7 linked regions of the Mus musculus genome follow. The main gene of each other region encodes a partner of the protein of the gene in region 2 in a complex. Links are inferred from orthologs where the notes say so. Each region holds a gene or a part of one and is shown on either strand. Other genes may lie near its edges.

Region 1 (3,500 bases), on a different chromosome or scaffold from region 2:
GCCAACTTTACAACAAGCAGGGCTGTCAGGAGCTCAACACGTGTGAAACACGACAAAACGGGTTGGCAAAGAAGGCATGGGGATGGGGTGGAGAACGGCACCTGCTCTTGTCATTGCACCATGAACTTGTCACAAGTCCAACACTTACGGCACAGGTGGCAGGAGAGGCCGATGAAGGGGACCAGGGGACCAGAACAATCTCCAGCCTTTACCTGGAGTACCCTTGCTTGCTATTCTCCTGAAACCTTGTGAGCACCAGAAATCCCTGCCACATCACCTCAGTCATCACCATGAAGGTGGCTAGAAAAAGGGAGAAAGCCACACAGCAGGAAGAGGAGGACTGAGGCAGGCCTGACTCACGTGCTCCCACTGTAGTCCTCGTAACTACGGCACCTACTCCCATGCTCTGAGGCACAGCCATGTCCCACCATGCATCAATGGGGCCCCTGGCAATGGCTCTCCATCCAGATCTCCAGACTTCACACACCCTGCTCAGCCTTACAGGTTACAAGGCCGGACAGTCATGGTCTCTGCCTGAGGTTAGCTGCGCTCTGACTGCACAGCAATCCTGCAAGGAACTGTCTCTGCTTACTCTGTCCCCGGTACACTGAGTGACAGCCCTGGGCTGCAAAGCAACCTGAGATTCCTCTTTGGAACATCCTGAATACAACCAGGAATAGTGGCAGGCCACTGTAACCCCAGCTCTGAAGGTTGGTTGGCAAGAGGAACTGAAAGTTCAAGACCAGACTGGGCTCTCTAGTGGAGTCCATCTAAACCAAACCATGAAGTATTTGAACCCACACAGGTGAGAAGTGTGTGGCAGTGAACTCTTAGGTGCCTAGCGTTCCCACACCCCTCTAGTTCTATCTTGGCTGAGCTGCCATTCCCCAGGACTTGTGCAGGGACCTGGGCAGTCTTCTGTCTGCCTCTGATGCCCACCTTCAAGCCTGGACACAGAGCTGGCACATCCAGGACACCAAGCCATTTGGCATGTGATCAGAAGCCATGGAAACACCCAATCGTGTTTAAACACCACGTACCCCAACAAATGGAGACTAGGAAGACAGGATGCCTCTCCAAACAGCACAGATACCAAGCCCCAGTACACATACCTGCTTGTTAGGAAATGTGGCACCTGAGGGTTCAGACGAGTCAGGTAAGGGGGGTACAGTCCCTGTCCAAAACAACGAAAGCTGAACTACACCAAGGACCCACTTCAGAGAGGTATCTGGTATGGCAGGGAGATCAGGAAAGCTCTCTGGGAAACAAGAAAGTGAGTGGCCCAGGGTACAACAGAATTGGGTGGCCTGAGCCCCAAGCCGTAAGGGCCATGGCTGACAAGCTAATTTACTACCTGGATCCTGGTCTCTCTCCTACCAAAATCCAGACACGAATACAAACAGCAAATGGTAGACAATACACCCACCTTCCTACCTGACAGAACTCAGGAAAAAGGCCAAGAGAAGACCGGGCTTTAGACAAGAAGTAGCCATGGAGGTGATCCATCTTCCAGAAGATATGGAAACAACAAGAAACAAATGCAGAGAAAGACCTGACTAACCTGAAGTACTCCTGCTGTGTGCTGGATGACAGGGCCAGAACTCCTACAGGATCTACCACACCACCAGTTTCTCTTTAAGTTCACGGAGCCAGCCAGAACGTGGGATACCTATATCCTCACTCACAGAGACATGCCACATGGCATATACCTTACAATAGCACCCAAGGTTCCAAAAGGGAGTTACCCTATGCTTCACACACCATTTAATGACGCCAGGAATCTGCTACACACAGGAGGGTCCAAGAAAGAAAGGAAAGACAAGACAGAGACACAAGTCAGGCCTGCTAACACACAAAGGCTGAGGCAGGAGATCACCAGTGTGTTCAGACTATCCGACTTCAGCTACAGACCCAAAACTAATTTAGGGCTTGTTTTGTTTTAAGGGGCTGGAGAGATAGCTCAGCATTTAAGAGCACACACTGCTCTGGCGAGAATCCGAGTCTGGTTCCCAGCACTCATGTCAGGGAGCTCACAACTGCCTACCTCCATCTCTGGGAATCTGAAGCCTCAGGCTTTCCAGGGCGTCAGCAATCATACTAAATAAATGAATGAAAGAACAAATAAACAAGTAAACGGAAAGAAGCAAAGAAAACCCGTGTTCGGCCTGTGAACGTTTCTGAGTTAAATAGTTTCTGCTTTGAAAGTTTGGTGCTCAGGAAAGTCAATTCTCTCCGATGATCATGTTTATTGTGCATAGGTCTCTGACCTGAGCAGACGGTTGGGTCATTTCTAGTCTATACTACAAGATTACAGAAAACTAAAGGACAAAAGCAAAGAGTGAAAGCATTAGGAACAGAGCCGACAAGGAGCCGCAGCCAGACGGGTGTGTGTGTGTGTGGGGGGGGGGGGGGGGGTAGGGAGAGGGAGAGGGAGACAGACTCCTGTTGATGGGAGCCTCTGAGAATACAGATCCTGAAATAAAACAAAACAAGCAGTTGTAATCACTGAGGAACCACACCTGCCCACTCTGCTGTGGGATTTTCTGAGGACTCCTTTCTCTAGATGTCCTACCTAGAGCAGGCAGAGCTCTGTCCAGGCCCTGCCCCTCATCCACTGTGCCAAAGGGTTCAACAGCCTTCATGTGCAGACATGGCCAGCCCTCTCTACTAACTGTCCAGACCCCCCACAGCCTAAACCATCTGGGGTCTGCATGTCTCAGAAGGCCTAAGCTGTGTTCATCCTCACACCTGCTCCTTCCTGGTCCCCAGCATATCAAACATGAGCTAAGGTAAAGACAGCCACTAAGGCCAGAGGAACAGGGATCCAACGGTGTAGCAGGAGATAGAGAAGGAAGCTGACATTAACCGAGGTCGCAGAATCACCATCACCCACCTCAGGCACAGGCAGAATGTGCATGATCAGAAGGACCAAGCATCTGGGGGCAGCACTCTCACCTTTGAGTCGTAGGCTGACTGCTTGATGACCTCCGGCGCCATCCAGAAGGGGGTACCCACGAAGGTGTTCCTTTTGATCTGGGTATCCGTCAGCTGGCCGGCCACTCCAAAGTCTGCCAGCTTCACCTCTCCATGTTCAGAGAGCAGAACATTGGCCGCTGAAAGACAAGAAAGGCGGGAGGCCTTACGCACTGCACTGCTACTCCCAAGGTCGCCCTGGAGGCTGAAGCTTGCTCTCCTCACAGGGCATGAGGACCCCTAAGAGCAAGCTGCCCTGGGGTTTGAAAACAGCCCAGCCTGACCCCAGATAGGCAAGAGTGGGCAGGAGTACAGTGGGCTCTGCCACTTCACGTGTTTCAAAGAAATGAAAACAAGCGCTGCCCTCACCACCCAGCAGTGGTGGCACACGGCTTTAACTGCAGCACTTGGGAGGCAGAGGCAGGCGGATCTAAGTCTGAGGCCAGCCTGGTCTACAGAATGAGTTCCAGGATGGCCAGAGTTACACAGAGAAACCCTGTCTCCAAACAACAAAAAATATAAACAAA
Region 2 (3,500 bases):
GGTGTACATTACTACATGCAGCCTATAAGACATTTTTTAAAAATGTACTTACCCTCTCTTAAAAAGAAAAAGAACTTTAAAAAGTTTTAAAAAAATACTTAAAAGAATTTTTTCTTAAACTATATTGTGAGCACACTCTTTCTCTCCCCAGCTCTCCCCAGATTTTCCCACCTCCTTACTGCCCAAGCAACTTCATGTTCCTTCTCTCTAAAAGACTAAAACTAAAGCAGAAGATTTTAAAAAAAGAAAAAGAAAAGGAAAAATAAAGGAAGGAAGGAAGGAAGGAAGGAAGGAAGGAAGGAAGGAAGAAAGAAAGAAAGGAAGAAAGAAAGAAAGAAAGAGCCAAAAATGAAAGAAACATAAAATTTCCCCCAACAACATGGAGTGTGTTCTGAGTTGTCAGCCACCCCTAGGCATGAAGCCTGCCCTGGAGTGTCACTGATAGACCTAGTGACTCTGGCTCAGAGGCAGCTCATTTCCCTTCCTCACAGAAGTCAATTGTAAATAGCTTCTTGGTGAGGGATAGGACGTGGTGTTCATTTCTCCTAGTAAAAGACTTTTGTCTGTTTGTTTGGTTTTTCAAGACCAGGTTTCTCTGTCCTAGAACATACTTTGTAGACCAGGCTGCTGGCCTCAATTAAAAGTGTGTGCTACCATTGCCAGGTAAAAGGCTTCTTAAAAACAGACTTAAAAACTAGTTTTAAGACCTTGTTTCAAAATAGAATAAACAAAAACACGGGAGTTAATATAAAATGAGGTCCTCAGGAAGGTGAGAAACATCCAAGAACATGGGTGAGGGTGTTCCCAAGACAGTGTTACCCACTAATTAACTCTTTTTTTAATAACAATAAAAAATATTTATTTATTTATTATATGTAAGTACACTGTAGCTGTCTTCAGACACTCCAGAAGAGGGCATCAGATCCCATTACGGATGGTTGTGAGCCACCATGTGGGATTTGAACTCAGGACCTTCGAGAGCAGTCAGTGCTCTTACTCCCTGAGCCATCTCTCCAGCCTCCTCCTATTTAACTCTTATTCCTCCATCTACCTGCCCACTTACCTGCTCATCTGTCCATCCCTCCCGCCTGCCCTGCCCCGTGTCTGGTCTGCACAGAGACAAGGTTGCTCTGTGTAGTCCTGACCACTCTGGTACTCTGTAGACCAGGTTGGCCTCAAACTCAGAGATCCTTCTGCCTCTACCTTTCAAGTGTTGGGATTAAAGGTGTGCACCATTGCGCCTGCTGGCTGCTGCCCAGCACGTGTGTGTGTGTGTGTGTGTGTGTGTGTTCACGCACGCAAGTATGTGAGAACCCAAGTGGTGGCAAGATGACAACTCATGTTGGTGTTGGTTCCCTCCTTCTAATGTGGGTTCTAGGGACTGGACTCTGACCATCAGGGGTGCCTTTACCTGCTAAGCCATCTTGCTGGTCCTATGTAGTGTGTTATTTTGAGACAAGACTTTTCTATGTCGAGCAGGCTGACCTGGACCTTAAATTAAAATCCCCCTGCCTCAAACTCCTGAGCACTAAGATTATCACTTCCTCTTTAACTTTTTCTTGGAGTGGAGAAGACTTTTCCTCCCAATAGGGATTCACTATGTCCGGGCAGTAGCTTGATTGTTATGTGGCACAGCAGGCCTGAAACCCAATACATAATCAAGCTGGTCTTGAACTTGTGATTGCGGTTATCCCTCCTGCCATTACTGCTCCATTGTAAGATGAAACAGCAATTTTTTTTTTTTTGAGACACTATGTAGCTCTAACTGGCCTAGAACTTAGTATGTAGACAAGGCTAGCCTTGAACTCAGAGCATTGTTTGCTTCTGCCTCCTGAGTGCGATTAAAGATTTATGTCTTGTTTTTTGTTTTTGTTTGTCTGGTTTGTTTGTTTTTGAGATATGATTTCATGGCCTCAAACTCCCTATGTAACCAACAATGAACTTAGCATTCTGATCCACCCAGCTCCTGTGGTACTGGGATGGGACCCAGAGCTTCACTCCACCTACTTACTGATCCCCATCTCCAGCTCCTCCACTTAACTCTTAAAGGGCTAAAGGACAAGGCCTCAACTCCCTGCCATTTATGGTCCCCCCAATGCTTCTCAGCTCACCTCCTCTGTTTCTAACAAACCCCTGACCCACAATAAGACCTTAGCTGATCCCCAACATAGTCCACCAAGTTGACCAAGCCCATTCTGGCCCTGACCCAGGCTAGCCTCTGCTTCCCCAAAAGCCAGCTCACACTGTCCCTCAAATGCAGCCCAACTCTCCCCTCACCATTACGCCTCATCTCCCTCCGCCCACTCTCTTAACCTTAAGTCAGACCAGGAAGCTTACAGTGCTACTTCCCAGAGCTGTGACAGGAGGAGGGAGTGGCAGGGTCTGTCCTCACCATAGCCATCATATGGGTCCATGTTGAGGTCAGGAATCTTCCAGCTGTGGATCCTGGCATCAGCCCCACCACTGTAACAGTACTCGCTGTTGCTGCCCATGGTGACTGCCAGCACCGGGCCCCTGCAGGGTGCAAGGGAGAGGCGATGCAAGGCAGCTAAGGCTCAAGCCTTCCTTGCTCACGGGAGCTTGAGGATTTCTCCTAGCTTTTAGTTTTGTTTTGTTTTTGTTTTTTCAAGACAGGGTTTCTCTGTGTAGCCCTGGCTGTCCTGGAACTCACTCTGTAGACTAGGCTGGCCTTGAACTCACAGAGATCTGCCTGCCTCTGCCTCCCAAGTATTGGGATCCAAAGTACATGCCACCATGCCTGGCTCTTCTAGCTATTTTTAAATATCATTTAAATGTATTTATTGTCATATATCACAATGCGCATGTGGAGGTCAGAAGACAACTTCTGGAGTTGGTTCTCTCCTCCTAGCACCTGAGTCCTGGGGATCAAACTTATGTTGTCAAGCTTAGTAGAAGGCACCTTTAGCCACCTAGCCCTCCCATCAGTCAGTGTCCTTTCCTAGGTATATCTTAAGGATGCCATGAGGAATTTGGCATCTTTGCTCTAGGGGCCTCAGTGAAACCACAATGGGAACCAACATGGCCCCTGAGTAAGGGGTATGCCCAAGCCTCCACTGCTCCAGGTCTCCAGGGCAGCAAGAAGCAGCAGCCCATCTATGCTGCTGGGTCGCAGGGCTTACAACAGGCTCAGCCATCTCCCTACCTGTGAGCTCGGAAAGCATGAATCGGCTCCACATCCAGTGCAGCATTTCTGTGGGAAAAAGAGGAATCCCATCACTAGGACCCCAGGTCCTAAGGCCCCGCACCCTCCAGGGTGGCACCCTTACTTCTTGGCCGTAACTGCCTTCTGCAGGTTCCACAGTTTGAGTGTGCCATCCTCAGAGGCAGTAAGCAGTGCTGACTGGCTGTGGTGGAAGGCCAGGGAGCGGATGCCATCGTAGTGTGAGCGGAGGGTAAACTTGGGGTTCCATGTCTTCTTGAAAGCGTCTTTGCTGTCAGACAGCTGGGGATGGGGAGCTGCCTCAGTGTCCTCTTGGATT
Region 3 (3,500 bases), on a different chromosome or scaffold from region 2:
GGCCAGCAACAAGACAAACTGCGGTATGTCAGACAAACAGGTCCCCAAGTTCTTCTGAAGAACACCAAGGAGTTGCCAGAGAGGTTACACAGTGGCCTTGATCTTTATTTTTCTTTACCTGGGATTCTACAAATTCTGAAATTGATCAATAGATTTATCTTGTTAATAAACAGCACCAGTCGTGCCCACTGATACAATTCAAACCTGACTTTCTCAGTTCTCAAGTTTATTATGAAAACACTGCGGTGACTTGTGCAGTAACATCATCTTACAGGAGGGAAACAGTTCTGTTCAAAACAACTCACCAGGTTTTCTGACAGTAACAAAGAACAACGCGGGGCTGAGATTTGAGAAGGGGAGAAACTGAGTGCAGACAAATCATACAATTAAATTAATGGTATCCCTGAAAGAAACACAACAAGAGGGGAGGCCTTGGTACTTATTTAAAAATGTTCATTAAGCTCCAATGATTGTTTGCTATCCTCATCTACAGTCATGCTGAGTAAGCTACAGCTAAGTGAAGTCAACTGGACTCACGGGTGTTAATGTTTAATCCTATATCTGCAGTCTCTCAAGAAAGCAAAAGTAACTACAAATAGCGCTATGCCAGAAACTGGATTCTTGACCAACAATGTCGCGTCAGCATGCAATGAACTGGTTCATTCTAAAGTGGTCACGGCTGTTGATGACAAGAGGCTTTGTATTTTATATGGCACATCTTTTGGTCCGTGTGAAAACAAGTTTTTGAATGTTAACTATTTTCTGACACTTTGGAGTTACTGTTGCTCTTCCCATTTCCATTAGGTCAATATACGGTTCATGGCAATACTGTACAAGTTTACATTTTCATTACAGGAAGTAGTCTGGGGTACGACGAGTGACATGTGGCTCGCCTCTACGAGGTGCTGGGTCAAACTGCAAGCTGAAAAACAAGGAAGACTCAGTGTTACTACTCCAGAAGATACCATGTAGTTAACAAAACTAACATCTTCCAAATTTTCAAATTTTCTTCCCCATCCAACTTCAGTACATTTTAAAAGAATAGAACCCAACTTTAATAGACCTAGGTATATTGGGGCACAGCTCTAACATTACCACTTGGGAAACTGAGGCAAGAAAATCACAGTTCTAGACCAGCTTGGGCTACAAACACATGGTTAGTTTTAGCTGTTAACCAGACACAAGAGAACCATTACCTGGGAACAGTTCTAACTGAGGACTAGACTTATATAAATCAGGTTGACCTGTGAGCATGTCTGTGGAAGACCATCTTAATTGATGTAAGAACACCACGCCCACCGTGGCTGTTACCATTCCCTAGGCAGAGAGCCTTCATCTGTTTAAGAATGAAGAAAGCTAATTGAGCATAAGCAACAAGCAAGGGCCCACACACTTCTCTCTGCTTTGTTTTGTTTGAGTCATGGCTTCTTGATATAGCCCCTGAAACTCTGTATATAGACCAAGCTGGCCTCACTCACAGAGTTCCTCCTGCCTCTGGTGGAAGGTAACATTACATCTAGGCTGTAGATGTTATTTGAGGAGCTGCTTCTAGTTCCTGCCTCAGCTTCCCCTCAATGGTGGACTATAAATTAGGACTATAGGTTGAAGACCTAGTAACTCATACAAGTTATTCATACCAAATAAGAGACACTAGTGCTAGTTTCTATTATGTGTAGGTTCATTCCCACAAAAATTTAGTCAAAAGTCAACAACCTATGCTTTGGTTTAAGCAGGGCTGGACAACACAAAGCTAGCTCAGAGTAGATACTTACAAAGAATACTTAAGAGTGTCGTCAAGTTCCATGATTGCAGCTTGGTTACCACAACGATAGCAATAGTTTGGAGCACTGAAAATTGTTACTACGTTCCGGTCATGGCACCAGTTATATCCCTGTAAAAAAGAGGCAGGAAAAAAAAAAAAAACCAAACAAACCTTACTAACCTACATAAATATGAACCCATTAAAACAGAAAAATACATTAAGATAGAAAAACTCCAAAGGGGTTAATTTTCTGTATTTCTCATAACCTATAAAATGTACATTTAACAATGTGTTGCTAAAACAAACAAACAAAATACTTTTGTTTGTTTGTTTTTGGGGGTTTTTTGAGACAGGGTTTCTCTGTGTTGCCAAAAAAATACTTTTTTAGAAAAAGATTTATTTACTTGTTTTATGTAAGTACACTGTTGCAATCTTCAGACACACCAGCAGAGGGCATCAGATCCCATTACAGATGGTTGTGAGCCACCATGTGGTTGCTGGGAATTGAACTCAGGACCTCTGGAAGAGCAGTCAGTGATCTTAACTGCTGAGCCATCTCTCCAGCCCTGTTTTTGTTTTGTCTTAAGCATTGAAAAACAAGCCAGGCATGGTGGTACACATTTTCAATCCCAGGAGGCAGAGGCAGGTGAATCTACATGGAGCCTAATCTGCATGGAGAACAGCCTAATCTACATGGCGAACATATCCCGCAAAAACCAACAAACCAACCAACCAAATCAACTTAAATATTACCCATCACCAAATGTAGATACTGTCTTTCATTGACATGACCTTGTGATGGTTTGTGTATGCTTGGGCCAGGAAGTGGCACTATTATGTGTGGCCCTCTTGGAGTAGGTGTGAACTATAAGATCTCATCCTAGCTTCCTGGAAGCCAGTATTCTGCTAGCAGCCTTCAGATGAAGATGTAGAACTCTGAGCTCCTCCTGCCCCATGCCTGCCTGGATGTTGCCATGTTCCTGCCTTGATGATAACAGACTGAACCTCTGAATCTGTAATCCAGCCTCAATTAAATGTTGTCCTTATAAGAGTTGCCTTGGTCATGATGTCTGTTCATAGCAATAAAGCCCTAAGACAAACCTTAAACTTGATTTTAAAATGAACTATTTTTTGGGTCTCACTGTACAGTCTAGGCTAGTCTGGATTACAAGGCAGTTTAGCTGCCACCTAAATAACTAACCAACCAGCAAACTAGCTAACTAATGAACTAATGAGGCATGCACCACTATACTTGGCTGACCATCAGTACTGACAACAAACTCTTATAGAATAAGAGATTGCCCACTGCCATAGTTTGAATGCTCCATGTTCTCATCTCATTCTCAAAGTATGGCAGTCAATGTTTTAAGGTAAGACCCCTACCAGAGGAAAGGCTTCTTTCAAATCATCTACAAGCCAGTTATCTAAAGGGCATCAACATTTTGATGTTTCTTTCTTTTCCTATAAAGAAACAAACTAGATAATGTGAAATAAACCACTGCGATATATTATACCCTTCCTCATTCGCTCTGCATCTTCATCCTTTCATCATTAATCCCAAGTCCCTCCGAGTCATTAAGTGGATGCCCACTATCAGCCATGGATCTGACTTTCCTCTGACTGTCCATCTACTGAAGAGGGTTTAGCTCCCATGGCAGACTCTAGGAATAAAGGACATCTTGCTGACAGCATCAGTGTCAAACTCCTTTCCTTCAGTTACTACAGTTAATTTGACAGG
Region 4 (3,500 bases), on a different chromosome or scaffold from region 2:
CTCAGCAACCAAGATGTCACCTTTAGTAACCTGAACAGTAGCCTGGTCAACTGTGTTTTCTTCCCTAGGGAGAAGAGGTGGTACCAGAAACACCGAGTGAAATCCTCTACCAGGGCATGCTGTACAGCCTCCCCCAGTACATGGTAAGGAGCTGGCTAGTCCAGAGCTACCCTTTCCTACCAAGAGGAACTTGGAATTCTGAACTTTCCTTGTGGCTGCTCTGCAGGTGCCATTCTCCCTAGCCTTTCTCCTGGAGCCTGGGGTGCATAATAAAGTAAGATCTACCTATAGATGATGTGTCAGAGCCATTTCTACTAGCTAATTGCCACTATCATGAGTTCTGCCATTGTCTGCCGTGTCTTTGGTAGCCTCTGGATAGGAATGGTGAAGATGTTGATGGGGTCAGAGGAAGAACAAGAAGGGGGAATGTTGGGCTTATATCTCCCACGTAGTTCTTGCTTTGCCTCTCCCAGTTTGTTCTTTCTGTGTTCACTTTGGGAGCAACCCTGAACAAAACAGCTTAGAAGTTTGCTTTGGCCTTCTCCCTTGGCCTCACAGACAGGCCTCAAGATAAATACCTGTTTGCATTACTATATTCTGGCAAAGCTTAGTCACTAAAGGAAGATCTTAGATAAAGGCTTTGAAATACTTTTCATGGGCTGGAGAGATGGCTCAGCAATGAGGAACAGATTGTTCTTCCAGAGGTCCTGAGTTCAGTTGCCAGCAACCACATGGTGGCTCACAACCATCTGTAAAGTGATCAGATGCCCTCTTCTGGTGTGTCTGAAGACAGCTACAATGTACTCATATACATACAAAAATAAACATAAAAAAATAAAAATTAAAATATAAAGAAATACTTTTCATTCGGGCTAGAGAAGTTTGGAAGAACCACTATTTCGCAAAGTGGGATAGACAAGGATGGCTTTCCTCTTTTTCTCTCTCCTAGATTGCACTGCTTAAGATTCTGCTGGCTGCAGCTCCCACCTCCAAGGCTAAGACAGACTCTATCAATATCCTGGCAGATGTCCTGCCTGAAGAGATGCCGTGAGTGTCTCGTCTTCAGGCCTCTGTCCCTCCGCACTGTGGTAACAGGAGTTGTCTGAAGAGAAGTCTTTCCTTTTCTGCATGGCCTTCTACCTACTGAGCTCTATGGAACTCAGAACTAGGGTCCAACAGAAAACCTCAGTGCTGATATATGAGTAGCCGCCAGATACATGAGTAGACAGCACCAGTGGATAAGTTTGCCAGAGACTGGACACATGAACAAAAAGATCATGAAAGCTTTCTCCTGGATAGATTCCTAAATGGGAACTTCAGAGATTTCCCTAGCAGAGAAGTTCAGGTTTCCTAAATTCTGACTATATATATATTCTGACTATAGATATAGACGTGTGTGTGTGTGTGTGTGTGTGTGTGTGTGTGTGTGTGTGTGTGTGTGTGTAGCCCAACTACTTGGGTCTTTCATCCCTAGGCCTCCATCCATCCCTACCTTTGTACTAATGCTTCATCTTCCCCTTGTAGTGTAACTGTTCTCCAGAGCATGAAGCTAGGCATTGACGTGAACAGACACAAGGAAATCATTGTAAAGAGTATCTCTGCCCTGCTCCTTCTACTTCTCAAACACTTCAAACTCAACCATATCTACCAGGTGAGCAGTTAGGGACGCTACATTTCAAGCTCCAAGTATTCCTCATGCCATAGGGGCCACACAGGAAGTCTTGTACTGCTGTGTATTTTACTTGGCCTTTGTTTGTCCTGAATGAGAGAGTCCAGCTACTTGTGGCATGAGTGTATGGTGGGATATGGAGTGGGATGTGGGGAGCCATCCTAGAAAGATACAAAAGTCTATATTCTTTGTAAGTTAGCTCCAGGTCTGGCTAGGGATTCTTAAGAATACTCCTAGCTAGTTAGAATCAGTTCAGCCATTCAAGAAAGGTCCCTGGGCACATTGGCCATACTTGTCTGTAAGTGAAGCACTATTCTGAATCAGATCTAATTCTAAATGAGACACAGATCAGACTCTTACAAGCCACACAGTCTTGTAACAGATCCATAAACGCCCACTTGTAGAGTGGTGTGATACAGATAGGCACTGTTGAAATACCTAATCCAACCTGAGGTAGAGAAGAGTTGACTTTTAACCTAAGTCTCAGAGAAACAGATGTTAGCCAGGAAATGAGACTTATCAGGAAAGAGAAAACCCAGCTCAAGCAGAAAGTCCAATATGTGAAAGCTCAGAGGTGAAACAGCAGAGAGCTTTTGGAAACTAATTAAATGTTGCTGGAGTTCTGCCTCTGAGTGGGGTGATAGAGATGATCGGCTGATATGTGAAGCCACAGGGATCATCAGGGATCGTATATCTGATAACACATGATTATGAAATACCTATATTGTGCTTGACATCCAACAGAGCTTTTGTGAGCTTCTCACCTCTAGGAATCCTTATTTTATCCCTGGTTTTTTTTGGGGGGGGGGTGGGGACTGGTGGCATTTTTGGGTAATTTTTTTCTTTAGTTGTTATTGCTGGTTTGGTTTGGTTTTGAGACAGAGTCTCACTGTGTAGCTGTCCTGGAACTCATTATGTAGACTAGGATGGCCTCAAAGTCACAGAGATCCTCCTACCTCTGCCTTCTGAGACTGCACTCTGGTTTATCTCAAGTGGGGAGATTAGGGTTAAAGTCAAGACTTTGCTTTGCTTTCCCACAAAGGCATTGTTTGCCTTGGGCTGTAGGCATTACCAAGGTACAAGGACAAGATGCAGACAAGTGAATGGAAGCTTCTCCTTTAGAGAGCCTGGGAATATGGAACCCTTCTCATTTCTGCCCTGAGGCCTTACACCATTTTCCAACTAAGCACTCAAAATAAAGCCTGATAAAAGAAAGAGTCGTGTTCAGGGAAGGCCGGCACGGGCTGAGACTGTGGCTTTATCCTGTGTTTGCTGAGCAGCATCCACTAGGATGTGTTTCCCAGTGTTTCTCTTGAAGGGCAGTAGATAGATCTATAGCCAGACTGAGAGATGTCCTGAATGGCCGGGCCACAGTGTGTGTCAGCGTGGGGAAGTCCAGACAAAGCCTGAACAGAGCTCAGAGTTTTAAAACTTCCCACTTTCAGTAGTACGTATGTACTAGCTCCTTTATCTAGAACTTGGAAAATACTTTTGGGTGGCTTCCAGGGAGGAAATGCCAATTAGGAGAGAGAAGCAGTTATGACATAAGCTGACTCCCACCTCTAACCACATACTCGGGAACAGAAAGCAGCTTACCCTTCTGCCATGGCTACTTCTTGCAGATGACACAGAGATACAGTTTTAAAACACCATAGTTCTCTGCCTTTTCTACCTTGTTTCTGTACTGTCCCAGCATGCTTAGGCTCAGATTTGGAGGCATCCTTTGTTTCTGGTGTTCCTCCGTACATCATAAACAAAATCCAGGGTGACTAACTCTATACCTTTGTTCTTATTGCCACTTACCCCAGTAGGTCTCCCTGGACATGGACCC
Region 5 (4,113 bases), on a different chromosome or scaffold from region 2:
AGTCAATCACTCCACCCTGATTTGGGGAAATATTGCACATTAATTTAAAGAACACATGGCAAATTCAAGATTTCTTGCTACTTAAACAACCTAAAAGTTGCTTGCTTCTAACTCTAACAAAACTATAGGAGACCATTATGATCCCAGAATATATTTCTACATTATAGTTTTTGGGAAATACAACAAAACTATTCTAGGCTAAAGGGTCATGCTGCATGCTGTGAATGTGTTTTAGGTCCCTGTATAATTTCAAAGATGGAAAAGCTGTCTTCTTTAAATGTTGCAGCAAGTGCTTAAGAACTACATCTAGAAATAAAAATGAAAATAATTGGATAACGTGCTACTTCACTTAGATGGAAAGTGGCGGAGCAAGAATCAATAATCTTTGCTTGCTGAATGTGAGATGACTATCCTGTACAGCTAAGGACTGACAAATTAATAACTTGGGGAAGGCACACCATGCAAGGCAAAGTTGATCATTTCAAATATGTGATTCCCATTTCAACCCACCTTAATTAAGATCTAAAAATCCAAGAGATAGCTAGCTCCCATAATTAAACAAAGCAAGGAGCAATGTGACAATGCTCAACGGTGAGCACTTAGCAAACCATCTCTATCCAATAAAGTCAGAACAAATTAAATAAAGACCAGAAACCACATAAATCAAATAAAGTCAAGCCAAATGAAATAAAGACCAGGAACCCTTTTCTGGTGATCACACTGAGTAGCCCAGAATCACACAAAGTTGATGAAGGGGAGGCACCAGTGTGGCCGCATGCAGGCAGGCGCCTGCTCACAATGGAGAGAGAAGCATGGAGCCTCTGAGCAGTAGCCATATGTAAAGTTCTATGTCTCCACATAATAGAAAGCTGTGCACGAAGGGGGAAAGTTCACGTGTCGTTCCAAACCAGGCAGAGCAAAACCAGTTCCTATTGCAAACTACTACTTGTCCAGATACAAGCAAAGTCAGACTTCAATGAATGGCGTGTGGGGCAGAGCAGTTAGGGAAAAGAGAGCCAGAGATGGAGAATGCATGAGGAAAAAAAAGTTTGGGGCACTGGGAAAAACTGAAATGGATTAATACCACAAAAAGCCCCACTCTTTCTATTTTACATTTCTTTCCCTCCCCTTCCTGAGTCTCAACCCAGACCTGCCCTTAAATACAGGAGACATGTATGTCCTGTACAAATGACCCCTTTGAGGAGAAAGGATATTTTTAAAAGCACCTTTTTATTTTTATCATAAATACAATGAGACCAGTCAGCACATGCGGCAGTAGACAGAGACTCCAATTCACAAAGTTTGGACTCCTAGTAGAAGCGTAAGCTATGCAGTGGTCTCCACATTTCAGAACTTGAAATAATTTGTTTGTTTGACTTAGCATAGTTAGAAGATCATAAGGAACCCAGTCTCAGTGTTTTTAGCCTCTGACTTATAACTCATAAAGGGTTATTTAGGTTGCCATGGGGGATACCCCAAATGTAAATGCTTTAAAAAGTTAAGAGTGGTTAAAAAAACAACAAGATGTGTAAAACATTTGTTGACATAATTTTCTTTAACGAAACGATAGTATAATGGGAGGAGAACTGTATGGATTTTGAGTAAAATGTTGGGTCCCACACTTTTTTCCCCCTTTGCGCTGGACAAAAGCTTAAGTACGTGTACCAACCACCTTAGCAGACAGACAAGGAGAAAGGTATGTGGAGTCATTACCTAGGCCCTCAGAACAGGATCCTGCAGTCCTTGGAACACTACCCACTGAGCTAGGTAGGGGAGCGTGATAGAAGTTTGCTTCTAAGTGGCACCAAAGGGGAAAAGAAGGCATCTTGCTCTTCTGTCTTTGCACACAGGAAGAACCAAATTCAATGCCTCCACCACTCCTGGTCTCGCTCCGCCCCAACCTCTGTGTGTGTACCGTGTGGGGGCACCTCTTGGGTGTTTTAGCCCACACATTCCAGGACGCCTCTATCTCATCGAGGTTAAGTTCTGGGACTCCCCCACGCTGAATCCTCAACTGTGCCACGATTAACAAGCCAACAAGTACAGGTGCCTAAGGTTCTGGCCTATTTTTATACGTGTACTCCCCCCCCCCCCACACACACACACACCAACACCAACTGAGTCTCTCCCCAGTCGCCTCAATCTCTCCAGTGCAAAACACCTTCTAGCCCGGACGCCAGGAAACACCTCGAGCTTTACTTCGGGGTCACCTGGTGAGAGATCCGGCCCTGCCTTCAGGTTTGCCCCGTGGCTGCCCTGGTCCCTGGTGCCTGGTGCCCAAAGCGGGGCTTCGGAGCAGTCACGTGGGCGGCACGGGAGGCCTGGGCTTCCTCACCTGCATCCCAGGCACTTGAACAGCCACCGGTGAGTGGGCCATGGTGGCGACTGCTACTTCGCGCTGCTTCTGCGGTGGTGGCGGTGGCGCCTCCGGCAGAGACTGGCTCCTCCTACGGAGGTATCTCTGCAGCTCTACCAGGCTTCTCGATCGAGGCCTGGAAGGACGCAGAGAAGTGGAGTTAGTGGGCTGGTGGCTTGCAGCCTCCACTCCCCCCATTCCGCCCCCCCCCCCCCTGCGGGGAGGTGAGCGGTTCGCGCCGCTGCTCTCCCGGACTCAGTTTACCTACCTCTCTGCCGCTCGCCTGCCTGGCTTTTGGCTAACTGCAGTGTTGCTCTCTTTCCTGAATGCAGGGCTTGACCTGTGGCGGTGCCTGGGACCTGGGCTCCAGTGATGCCGCTTTGCTGCGCCTCGCCGCTTTAGGAAGAGGAGGTGGAGGCACCCCAGCAACCCGCCCGAACGCTTAGGCTGGGAGGCGGCTGGGGGCGGTTCCCCGGTTGGCCCTGCCTCCACCCCGCTGCCGGGCGGTGTCAGGGGAGCTGAGGCTTCAGGCTGCAAAGGGGGTTGGCTAACATAGCCAGAGTTGGAGACGCTCGGGGCTCTCAGGGGTTGCGGAGAGCAGCAGAAAGGCGGGATCGGGATCGAAAAACTTGGAACATAACCGAGCCTGGAGAAAGAACAGAAGAGTTTGCGGGAGTGGGGTAGGGGAGATGAGGGCAACCCGGATGAATGCGGCCACGTTGCAGACAGGCTTGCGAGGCTGGGGTGCTTGTAGCCTCCCAGAGGTCTGGAGTTGCAAAAGTTTTGCTTGGCTCCCCCACCTGGCCAAGGGTGGGGCCACCGAGCCAGACACCTGCTCCTTCACGCCTAAGTTCCTTCCCTCTTGCAATTTTCAGCTTCCTTGCCCTTAGATATGCCTCAAGTCACTTTAACCTGAGTCTGTCCTTACCTTAGGCTATTAGTTGAGGAACGGCCTGGCTGAAATTGCTCACAATTTCTGCGCGTGTAAAAGAGAGGCAAATTGGAAAACGGATCATGTATTGGCAGAAAACTTAACAACGATAACAGAGGCAAGGAGCATGAGATTACATCTTTCCGAGTATAGATATTTGAATTTAGCATGCAGCACAGTGACTTCTGCAACTCTCTGCCTTCTTCTAATTTAAGTTCAACTCCAGGAGTGAGGCAGACCCTTTCTGGAGGACCCAATAACACAATAATGACAGTGATAATAATAGCAGTCACAGGAGTCTCAGGGAAGCACCTATGTGAACACCCGGGCTACTAAAGGTTACAGGACAAAATAAGATCCAAGTAAATGTGTAAAATGAGAACTCACCTTGAAGTTTGCCAGATGCCCGTGCAACCAATGCACACTCAACAAATGCTATTCTTTTTTAAATAATTTTTTTCTCCAAGAACAGTATCTGGTTATTATCAACATTAGTAGTAGTAGTAGATTTCGTTTTCATTGCCCCAGAGATCCCGAAATTTACCCTCTGTATATTGTAAAGAGTTATTGTGACAAGCGCTCACTTGAGTCACACTGCCTTCTCCCCACTGAGCAAATAGATCAAAAGGCTCAGCCAAGTAAATATTTGACTCAAATATTGCAATTAAAAAGCAATACATCTGAGAAGTCCAATCTGGGCCCCCCTGCCACATACTACCTTCTATTAATATGGTAGAAGTATATTAAATATGGTATTGATTTTACCTTACTCTTAGTGCTCCAAGCCTTGGCGTTCTCTCTATTCTACCCAATGGTAGGCCCTGAT
Region 6 (2,679 bases), on a different chromosome or scaffold from region 2:
CAAGGTGCAGACCAAGTATTTGGGGCGACAGTGGCGCAAGAGCAACATGAAGACGATGTCTGCCATCTACCAGAAGGTGCGGCACCGGCTGAACGATGACTGGGCGTACGGCAATGGTGAGGCCACATATGACGCCGCAAGAGTGGGAGAGGGTAGGACAAGGGATGACTTGACTCCTTGCCTGTGGTACCTTAGTTTTCTCTGCCCTTAGGCACTGAGCAGGGCCGGGATCTAGTTTTAGTGGCTCTGGGCAAGACTTTGGGAAGCTACTCAGTATCTGTGTTCATCTGTTTCTCTGTCCCTCCACTCTAAATCCTGTCTTTTCCAGAAATTGCCATAAGATTCCATCCCCTCTTTATCCCTACTGCAGCTACCTAAATCTATAGATCCTCACCGGCTCTGCCTCTAGTTTCTCCCCACTGTTGGCCTCAGATTTGGCTCCTGTAATCTTTTCAACACACCCATCCTATGCTGTTGCCCCTGAGTAAGATTCCTGTTAGCTTTCTAGTTCCCATAGGAATGAAGTTAAACATTAAGACAGGAGGGGCAATCATTCACTTGCCTGATCCCAGAGTTTGCAGCTTTCTTTTCAAGCCCGTTGTGTGCTGGTACCCAGCTTCTGTCACACCCAAGACTCCAGGACAGAGTATGAAACCTCAGTACCAGCTGAGGATTGCTCTCAGGAGCTCTGCAGATCCCAGCAGCCACAGATGCCCATGCTCTCCAGTGTGCCCTCTGTGCCTGAGAATAGACTGTACAGGTACAGAGGGAAACTACACTTGGTCCCTGAGCGCTAGCCATGTTGCCTCCTGTTCCTGGGCCTCTGTAGACTGTTGGATATCTACATCCTCCCAGTCTAACTGTTGTTTACCTGGTGTTGCTGTGTTACACTGTCGCAGTCACATCACTCTGTGACTATGCCTGGCATCTGGGCTCAAGGTGGTGCATGACATTTTGTCATGGAGGTGAGAGGAGGAGCAGATGATGGAGTCTCGGAGTTATCTCTGTCATCTAGAACCAAGGGGAGACTGTGCTTTAAAAACGAGTTTTCCAGGACTCTCCTGTCTGTCGACATGTTTTGGGGGAACAAGTCTCTTTCTCAGAGTTAAGGATTTTCTCCTTATATTTGACTATCCTCTCCTGAGGATGGGCTTTGGAGATGATCTTCTGGTTAAAATCACGCTCCTACTCAAGGGGAGCTGCTATAGGGCTGACTCCTAACCGAGTTTTCTGCTTTGCCCCAGATCTTGATGCCCGGCCATGGGACTTCCAGGCAGAGGAGTGTGCTCTCCGTGCCAACATTGAACGCTTCAATGCCCGGCGCTATGACCGGACCCACAGCAACCCTGACTTCTTGCCAGTGGACAATTGCCTGCAGAGCGTATTGGGCCAGCGGGTAGATCTTCCTGAGGACTTCCAGATGAACTATGACCTATGGCTAGAGAGGGAGGTCTTCTCTAAGCCCATTTCCTGGGAAGAGCTGCTGCAGTGAAGAGGGCTGGAAAAGACCATGATCTGTCTGTCTCATACCTGAGGGACTGTCCTCACCATTGCTGCAGTGCTCCTGTTCCCCTCCAGGTGGCAGCACAGCTCCATTGAGTCCTCCACAGCCTGCCCTGGGCCTGTGAGTGAACCCAGGTTAGCCTCTGGTTGATTCCCAGCATCCTACTCAGGAGCTGTCATCTCCAAGCTGGGATCTACTCTCCCTCCACTTGCCCAGCTTCTACCCTCCTCTCTTGGATATGATCGATTGAAACTCATTTCACAGTTAGCCCTAGGCTGGGGAAAGCTGAGCCGGGCCTGGCATCCCTTCTCGACAGCAGCTGTATCGTGAGGTCCCACAGACTCCTGGGCAGCTTTGGCAATGTCAGCTGGTCAGGAAGGAGGGTCCGCTTGAGGGCCAAGAACAGAGTCAGCACCTTGGCTGTGCTCTGGGACTATCTCGTGCCATCCCAGCATCCTGCTGAGTTCTGTCCAGAAGTGATGGACACACAGCCTCTGCACCCTGGTTTTGGATGTGGTCAAAGGTGGAGTGAGGCTTCCTGAAGCCAGAGGTGCCGGTTTCCTCTCGGTTGCCATGACCTGTAAATATACAAAACTCTGTGTGATCTCTGGTGTCATGGTGGGGTTTTTATTGTGTTTGTGTATTCTGTTTACATTAAAAGAAAGCAAAACTGTCCGTGTTGCCTTGTGTGTAGATGCAGGCTCTGGGGACTGGGGATGCAGCACAGGCACTAGAGTGCCTACCTGGTAGGAAAGAAGCCTTGGGTAGTGGTACACACACGTGTACTCTCAGCACTTGAGAGGTGGAAGCAGGCGAATCAGAAGTTCTAGGTCAGTCTTGACTACATAGTTCAAGTTCAGCCTAGGCTATGTGAGATTCTCTCTGAGAAATATGGCCTGAAAATGATCAGTTCTCTCAAGAATCCCTTTCCCCAGCATGACAGGCTACCCGGCTAAGCTCTGGCCTGCCTGCCTTCCTGCCTTTTCTACCTGTTGTAGAGGGAAGGAGGGGTTAGTACTTTGGTCGTCGGCCCACATCAGTCTGGGCACATTGCTTTAGGGTTCTGGGTTTGCTGAGGATCAGGGTCCTGACTGCTAGGCTTGCTGTAGTTTCAGTAGAGACGTCAAGTTTCTCGGGATGACGCGCCGCAGCTGTCCTCAGCCAAGCCAGTTAGT
Region 7 (3,500 bases), on a different chromosome or scaffold from region 2:
CTTCCCCAAACCCCTCAGCTGCCTGGGGTGGCCCAAGTGGATATAGGCCTTACGAATCGTGGGTCCTTATTGAGGCAGGCCTCTACAAACTCCTTGAAGGGTTTGCTGTGGTGGCCCTCCAATGTGGGTGGGTTGTTCTTGGGAATCAGGAACAGGACTCGCATAGGGTGGAGATCAGAGTTTGGCGGCTCCCCCTTGGCCAGCTCAATGGCTGTGATGCCCAGGGACCAGATGTCAGCCTAGAGAGTTATCACACAGGACAGTTGCTACGTGAAACATTTTGAGTGGTGGCAGTATACTCTCACCTCCCATCCAGAACTCACCTTGAAGTCATAGGCCGACTGCTTGATAACCTCAGGTGCCATCCAGAAGGGTGTACCCACAAATGTGTTCCTCTTGATTTGTGTGTCTGTGAGCTGCCCAGCCACACCGAAGTCTGCCAGCTTCACATCACCCTGCTCCGAGAGCAGCACGTTGGCAGCTGCTCAATACAGGATAGGTGGGCATCATCCTTGGCTCCACAGCCCCCCAAAATAACCCTGCATGCAACTCCCTGACTAGTGATGGGATGGTATCCTCTGGCCCCTAGGGACAGCAGCAGATATGTCTTGGGAACTTAGTTTTCCTGGACATTGGCCACTGCTGGCAAGGGCAGGCAATCTGGGGGACCTACAGGAACATTCCTACCTTTGTTCCAGGGCCTGGCATGTTTGTGTTTTCTGACAAGCACCAACAATAGTGACACCTCACATATAATCATAGTGACCCTAACTGAATTGTACAGCTGGAATGGCTCGTCAGGGCATCTATCACTCTGCCTATAGGATTCCACCCTGTGACATAAGGCTCAGCTATCCTCACTAAGTCATTCATGGTGGGCTGGCCCAACTTTGTGAGTCCTCATCAGGACTGGACCACACAGAAGTGTTGCACAAATCCACATCTGAATCCACACACTGCTCCTGCTTTGTACTAGTACACAACTGGTTTCCTTCACATATATGAAATCAAAGATTAGGAGATGTGAGATTAAGGTTTTTTCTAGGCTGGCAAAGTAGCTCAGTTGCAGAATGTTTGCTTAGAATGCATAATCCCCTAGGCTCTACCCTCAGTGTGGCCATTAAAAATGGGGATAAAAAGTAAAATGGACAACCCCCCCCCCCCAATTCCCCAGTTTCCAGGTGGCAGAAGCGTTCCCCACATCCCATGCCCTCAGGCACCACAATCTACTAGGCTCCACATGCCCATCTCTTTCTAGGTCATGGGCAGAACTGCATCCAAGCCCACCCCGCAGGACCTTTGATATCTCGGTGGATCTTGCGCTCTGAGTGCAGATAATCCAGGCCTTTCAGGATCTCCCGCAAGATGGTGGCAATATAGGTCTCTTCCAGGGGACCAGGTTTCAGCTGCAGGAGCACAGACAGGAAGAACTTCAATTGCAGCTACCACACCCATACCTCCACAGCACCTGAACAGCACCACCCACCAACTTCTGAGTCCTGCAAAAGAAGCCTGGGGGCCTTTATGTTCCTTAGTTCCTATAGTTTCAGATGTCAAGGATAATGGGGGAAGTAAGGAGAAATGGGGGTGACAGCTGTTTTCAGAAAACTTAAGAGTTGCTTTAATCTTTTCTGTGACTATAAAGATGGGAATAGGTTAACCAAGGACCTGACACTCTTATTTGTCTGGGGGCTCTAACTGTGCCTATTCCCCTAGCCCAGTAGAGGCCCAAGACTTCTTTTAGCATCAACTAGAGCAAGATGAACAGTGATTTGTTTTGAAACTAACAATTCCTGTTAACATACAGAACTGTGATAGGTAGCCTGAGAAAGGCCACAAGCCTAAAAGTGTGCAGGGCAGTGGTTCCTGGGCCACTGAAAGACAAGCCTCAAGAGCAAGCCGCTCACTGCTCGAGTCTGAACTTACCAAGTCCAGTGCAGAGCCACCACCCAGGTACTCCATGATAATCCACAGCTTGGTGCTCTGGGAGCAGAGAAACCTGTCAGTGCCTGGGCAGGAAATGCAGCAGGAATATCCAAGCGGGGACTCCACAAGCCACCCCCTCTAACTCCTCCAAAAGTAGTCAGCTAGGGGCTTAGCCCATACAGCAACTATACCAGGCAAGTTCCTGCCAAGTAAGATAGGGTTCTAGCCGGGCAAGGTAGTGAATGCTTATATCCCAACACTTGGAAGGATCAGAAGTTCAAGGCCAAATTGGGGGACATGAGACTTGTGTTCAACTCCCAACACCCATATCAGGTAGCTCACAAAGGCCTGTAGCCCCCATACCAGAAGAACCCAATACCCTTTCTGGCCTCCGCAGACACACGCACAGACTAATTGTAGACATACCCCCACCCAGCACAGACAGGTAAAAATAATAACAAAAAAATTAGTATTAACAAATTAAAAGGAGGACCAAGCCAGGCATGGTGGAAGAGGCAGGTGGGTATCTGTGAGTTTAAGGCCAGCCTGGTCCATATAGTAAATGGACAAACAGAATTACACAGTGAGCTGGGCAGTGGTGGCACACACCTTTAATCCCAGCACTTGGGAGGCAGAGGCAGAGGCAGGTGGATTTCTGAGGCCAGCCTGGTCTACAGATTGAGTTCCAGGACAGCAAGGGCTACACAGAGAAACCCTGTCTAGAAAAACAAAAACAAACAAACAAACAAAAACAGAATTACACAGTGAGACCCTGTCTCAAAAAACAGTAACAAACCACCAAAAACAAAACAAAAAAGGAATGCAAGAAGCGGTGGCATACACCTTATTCCTATACTTGGGAGATAGAGGCAGGCATATCTCTTGTGAGTTCAAGGCCACCCTGGTCTACACAGACTCTGTCCAGGGGGAGGAATGGAGAAAAGGCCTCTCTGACCACCCAGCTACCATACCTCTGCTACAGGCACCTGGTGGACAGGCCAATTGCTCAAAGCAGTAGATGAGTCTTCTCTGTACTCTCTACACTCTGCTCAAGTGCCCTCCAGGCAGTCCCTAAAAGTACTGACTGCCTTCAGGGGCCCCTTAGACTGTGCCTAACAGTACTGACAGACATTTTAGAGCCTACTGAGGACTGGCACTTCTCAAGAGAATAGGCTGTTTTTGTGAAGCTGAGATATTTGGAAGGGTGGGCCTCTCTGCCCTTCCAGAGGGATTCCCATGTGCCCACAGCTGTCACCTTCTCTTCTCTCTCCTATCCTTGGACACATATTAATCCCTCTGGAAACAAAAGAGAAAGCCTGGCACAGAACCTTCAGAATGCTCCATCCCCAACCACTACAGATCCCTCCTTCTTGTAGGCACCTTCAGGTAGGAGCCGAAGTAGCGGGTGATATAAGGACTGTCACATTGGCTGAGCACAGTGATCTCCTGTTGGATGTCCTCAATTTCATCCTCGGCCTCTTCCAAGTCAATGATCTTGATGGCCACCACTTCCTTGGTGTGGTTGTCGATCCCCTTGTACACCTCCCCAAATGAGCCTTTGCCAATGCGGTCAA

The links.
Region 1: Strn4 (region 2) and Stk24 share a complex: the UniProt entries of both Homo sapiens proteins name them as parts of the core of STRIPAK complex. The link is inferred for Mus musculus from reciprocal best matches to the Homo sapiens genes STRN4 and STK24.
Region 3: Strn4 (region 2) and Ppp2ca share a complex: the UniProt entries of both Homo sapiens proteins name them as parts of the core of STRIPAK complex. The link is inferred for Mus musculus from reciprocal best matches to the Homo sapiens genes STRN4 and PPP2CA.
Region 4: Strn4 (region 2) and Strip2 share a complex: the UniProt entries of both Homo sapiens proteins name them as parts of the core of STRIPAK complex. The link is inferred for Mus musculus from reciprocal best matches to the Homo sapiens genes STRN4 and STRIP2.
Region 5: Strn4 (region 2) and Stk26 share a complex: the UniProt entries of both Homo sapiens proteins name them as parts of the core of STRIPAK complex. The link is inferred for Mus musculus from reciprocal best matches to the Homo sapiens genes STRN4 and STK26.
Region 6: Strn4 (region 2) and Strip1 share a complex: the UniProt entries of both Homo sapiens proteins name them as parts of the core of STRIPAK complex. The link is inferred for Mus musculus from reciprocal best matches to the Homo sapiens genes STRN4 and STRIP1.
Region 7: Strn4 (region 2) and Stk25 share a complex: the UniProt entries of both Homo sapiens proteins name them as parts of the core of STRIPAK complex. The link is inferred for Mus musculus from reciprocal best matches to the Homo sapiens genes STRN4 and STK25.

The regions. Positions count from the first base shown.
Region 1 is NC_000080.6:121,299,231-121,302,730, forward strand, and holds part of Stk24 (serine/threonine-protein kinase 24), read right to left. Parts: intron 3,114-3,500; coding exon 2,956-3,113; intron 1-2,955. UniProt on the Homo sapiens protein: Serine/threonine-protein kinase that acts on both serine and threonine residues and promotes apoptosis in response to stress stimuli and caspase activation.
Region 2 is NC_000073.6:16,832,889-16,836,388, reverse strand, and holds part of Strn4 (striatin-4), read right to left. Parts: intron 3,464-3,500; coding exon 3,288-3,463; intron 3,212-3,287; coding exon 3,164-3,211; intron 2,515-3,163; coding exon 2,393-2,514; intron 1-2,392. UniProt on the Homo sapiens protein: Calmodulin-binding scaffolding protein which is the center of the striatin-interacting phosphatase and kinase (STRIPAK) complexes.
Region 3 is NC_000077.6:52,119,324-52,122,823, reverse strand, and holds the end of Ppp2ca (serine/threonine-protein phosphatase 2A catalytic subunit alpha isoform), read right to left. Parts: intron 1,892-3,500; coding exon 1,773-1,891; intron 923-1,772; coding exon 850-922; 3' UTR 75-849; downstream 1-74. UniProt on the Homo sapiens protein: Catalytic subunit of protein phosphatase 2A (PP2A), a serine/threonine phosphatase involved in the regulation of a wide variety of enzymes, signal transduction pathways, and cellular events.
Region 4 is NC_000072.6:29,937,513-29,941,012, forward strand, and holds part of Strip2 (striatin-interacting proteins 2), read left to right. Parts: intron 1-68; coding exon 69-143; intron 144-949; coding exon 950-1,047; intron 1,048-1,524; coding exon 1,525-1,651; intron 1,652-3,500. UniProt on the Homo sapiens protein: Plays a role in the regulation of cell morphology and cytoskeletal organization. Required in the control of cell shape. Calmodulin-binding scaffolding protein which is the center of the striatin-interacting phosphatase and kinase (STRIPAK) complexes.
Region 5 is NC_000086.7:50,840,058-50,844,170, reverse strand, and holds the start of Stk26 (serine/threonine-protein kinase 26), read right to left. Parts: upstream 2,801-4,113; 5' UTR 2,625-2,800; intron 2,493-2,624; 5' UTR 2,378-2,492; coding exon 2,336-2,377; intron 1-2,335. UniProt on the Homo sapiens protein: Serine/threonine-protein kinase that acts as a mediator of cell growth. Modulates apoptosis. In association with STK24 negatively regulates Golgi reorientation in polarized cell migration upon RHO activation.
Region 6 is NC_000069.6:107,612,032-107,614,710, reverse strand, and holds the end of Strip1 (striatin-interacting protein 1), read left to right. Parts: coding exon 1-116; intron 117-1,244; coding exon 1,245-1,492; 3' UTR 1,493-2,179; downstream 2,180-2,679. UniProt on the Homo sapiens protein: Plays a role in the regulation of cell morphology and cytoskeletal organization. Required in the cortical actin filament dynamics and cell shape. Part of the striatin-interacting phosphatase and kinase (STRIPAK) complexes.
Region 7 is NC_000067.6:93,625,728-93,629,227, forward strand, and holds part of Stk25 (serine/threonine-protein kinase 25), read right to left. Parts: coding exon 3,307-3,500; intron 1,984-3,306; coding exon 1,927-1,983; intron 1,407-1,926; coding exon 1,298-1,406; intron 482-1,297; coding exon 324-481; intron 240-323; coding exon 54-239; intron 1-53. UniProt on the Homo sapiens protein: Oxidant stress-activated serine/threonine kinase that may play a role in the response to environmental stress.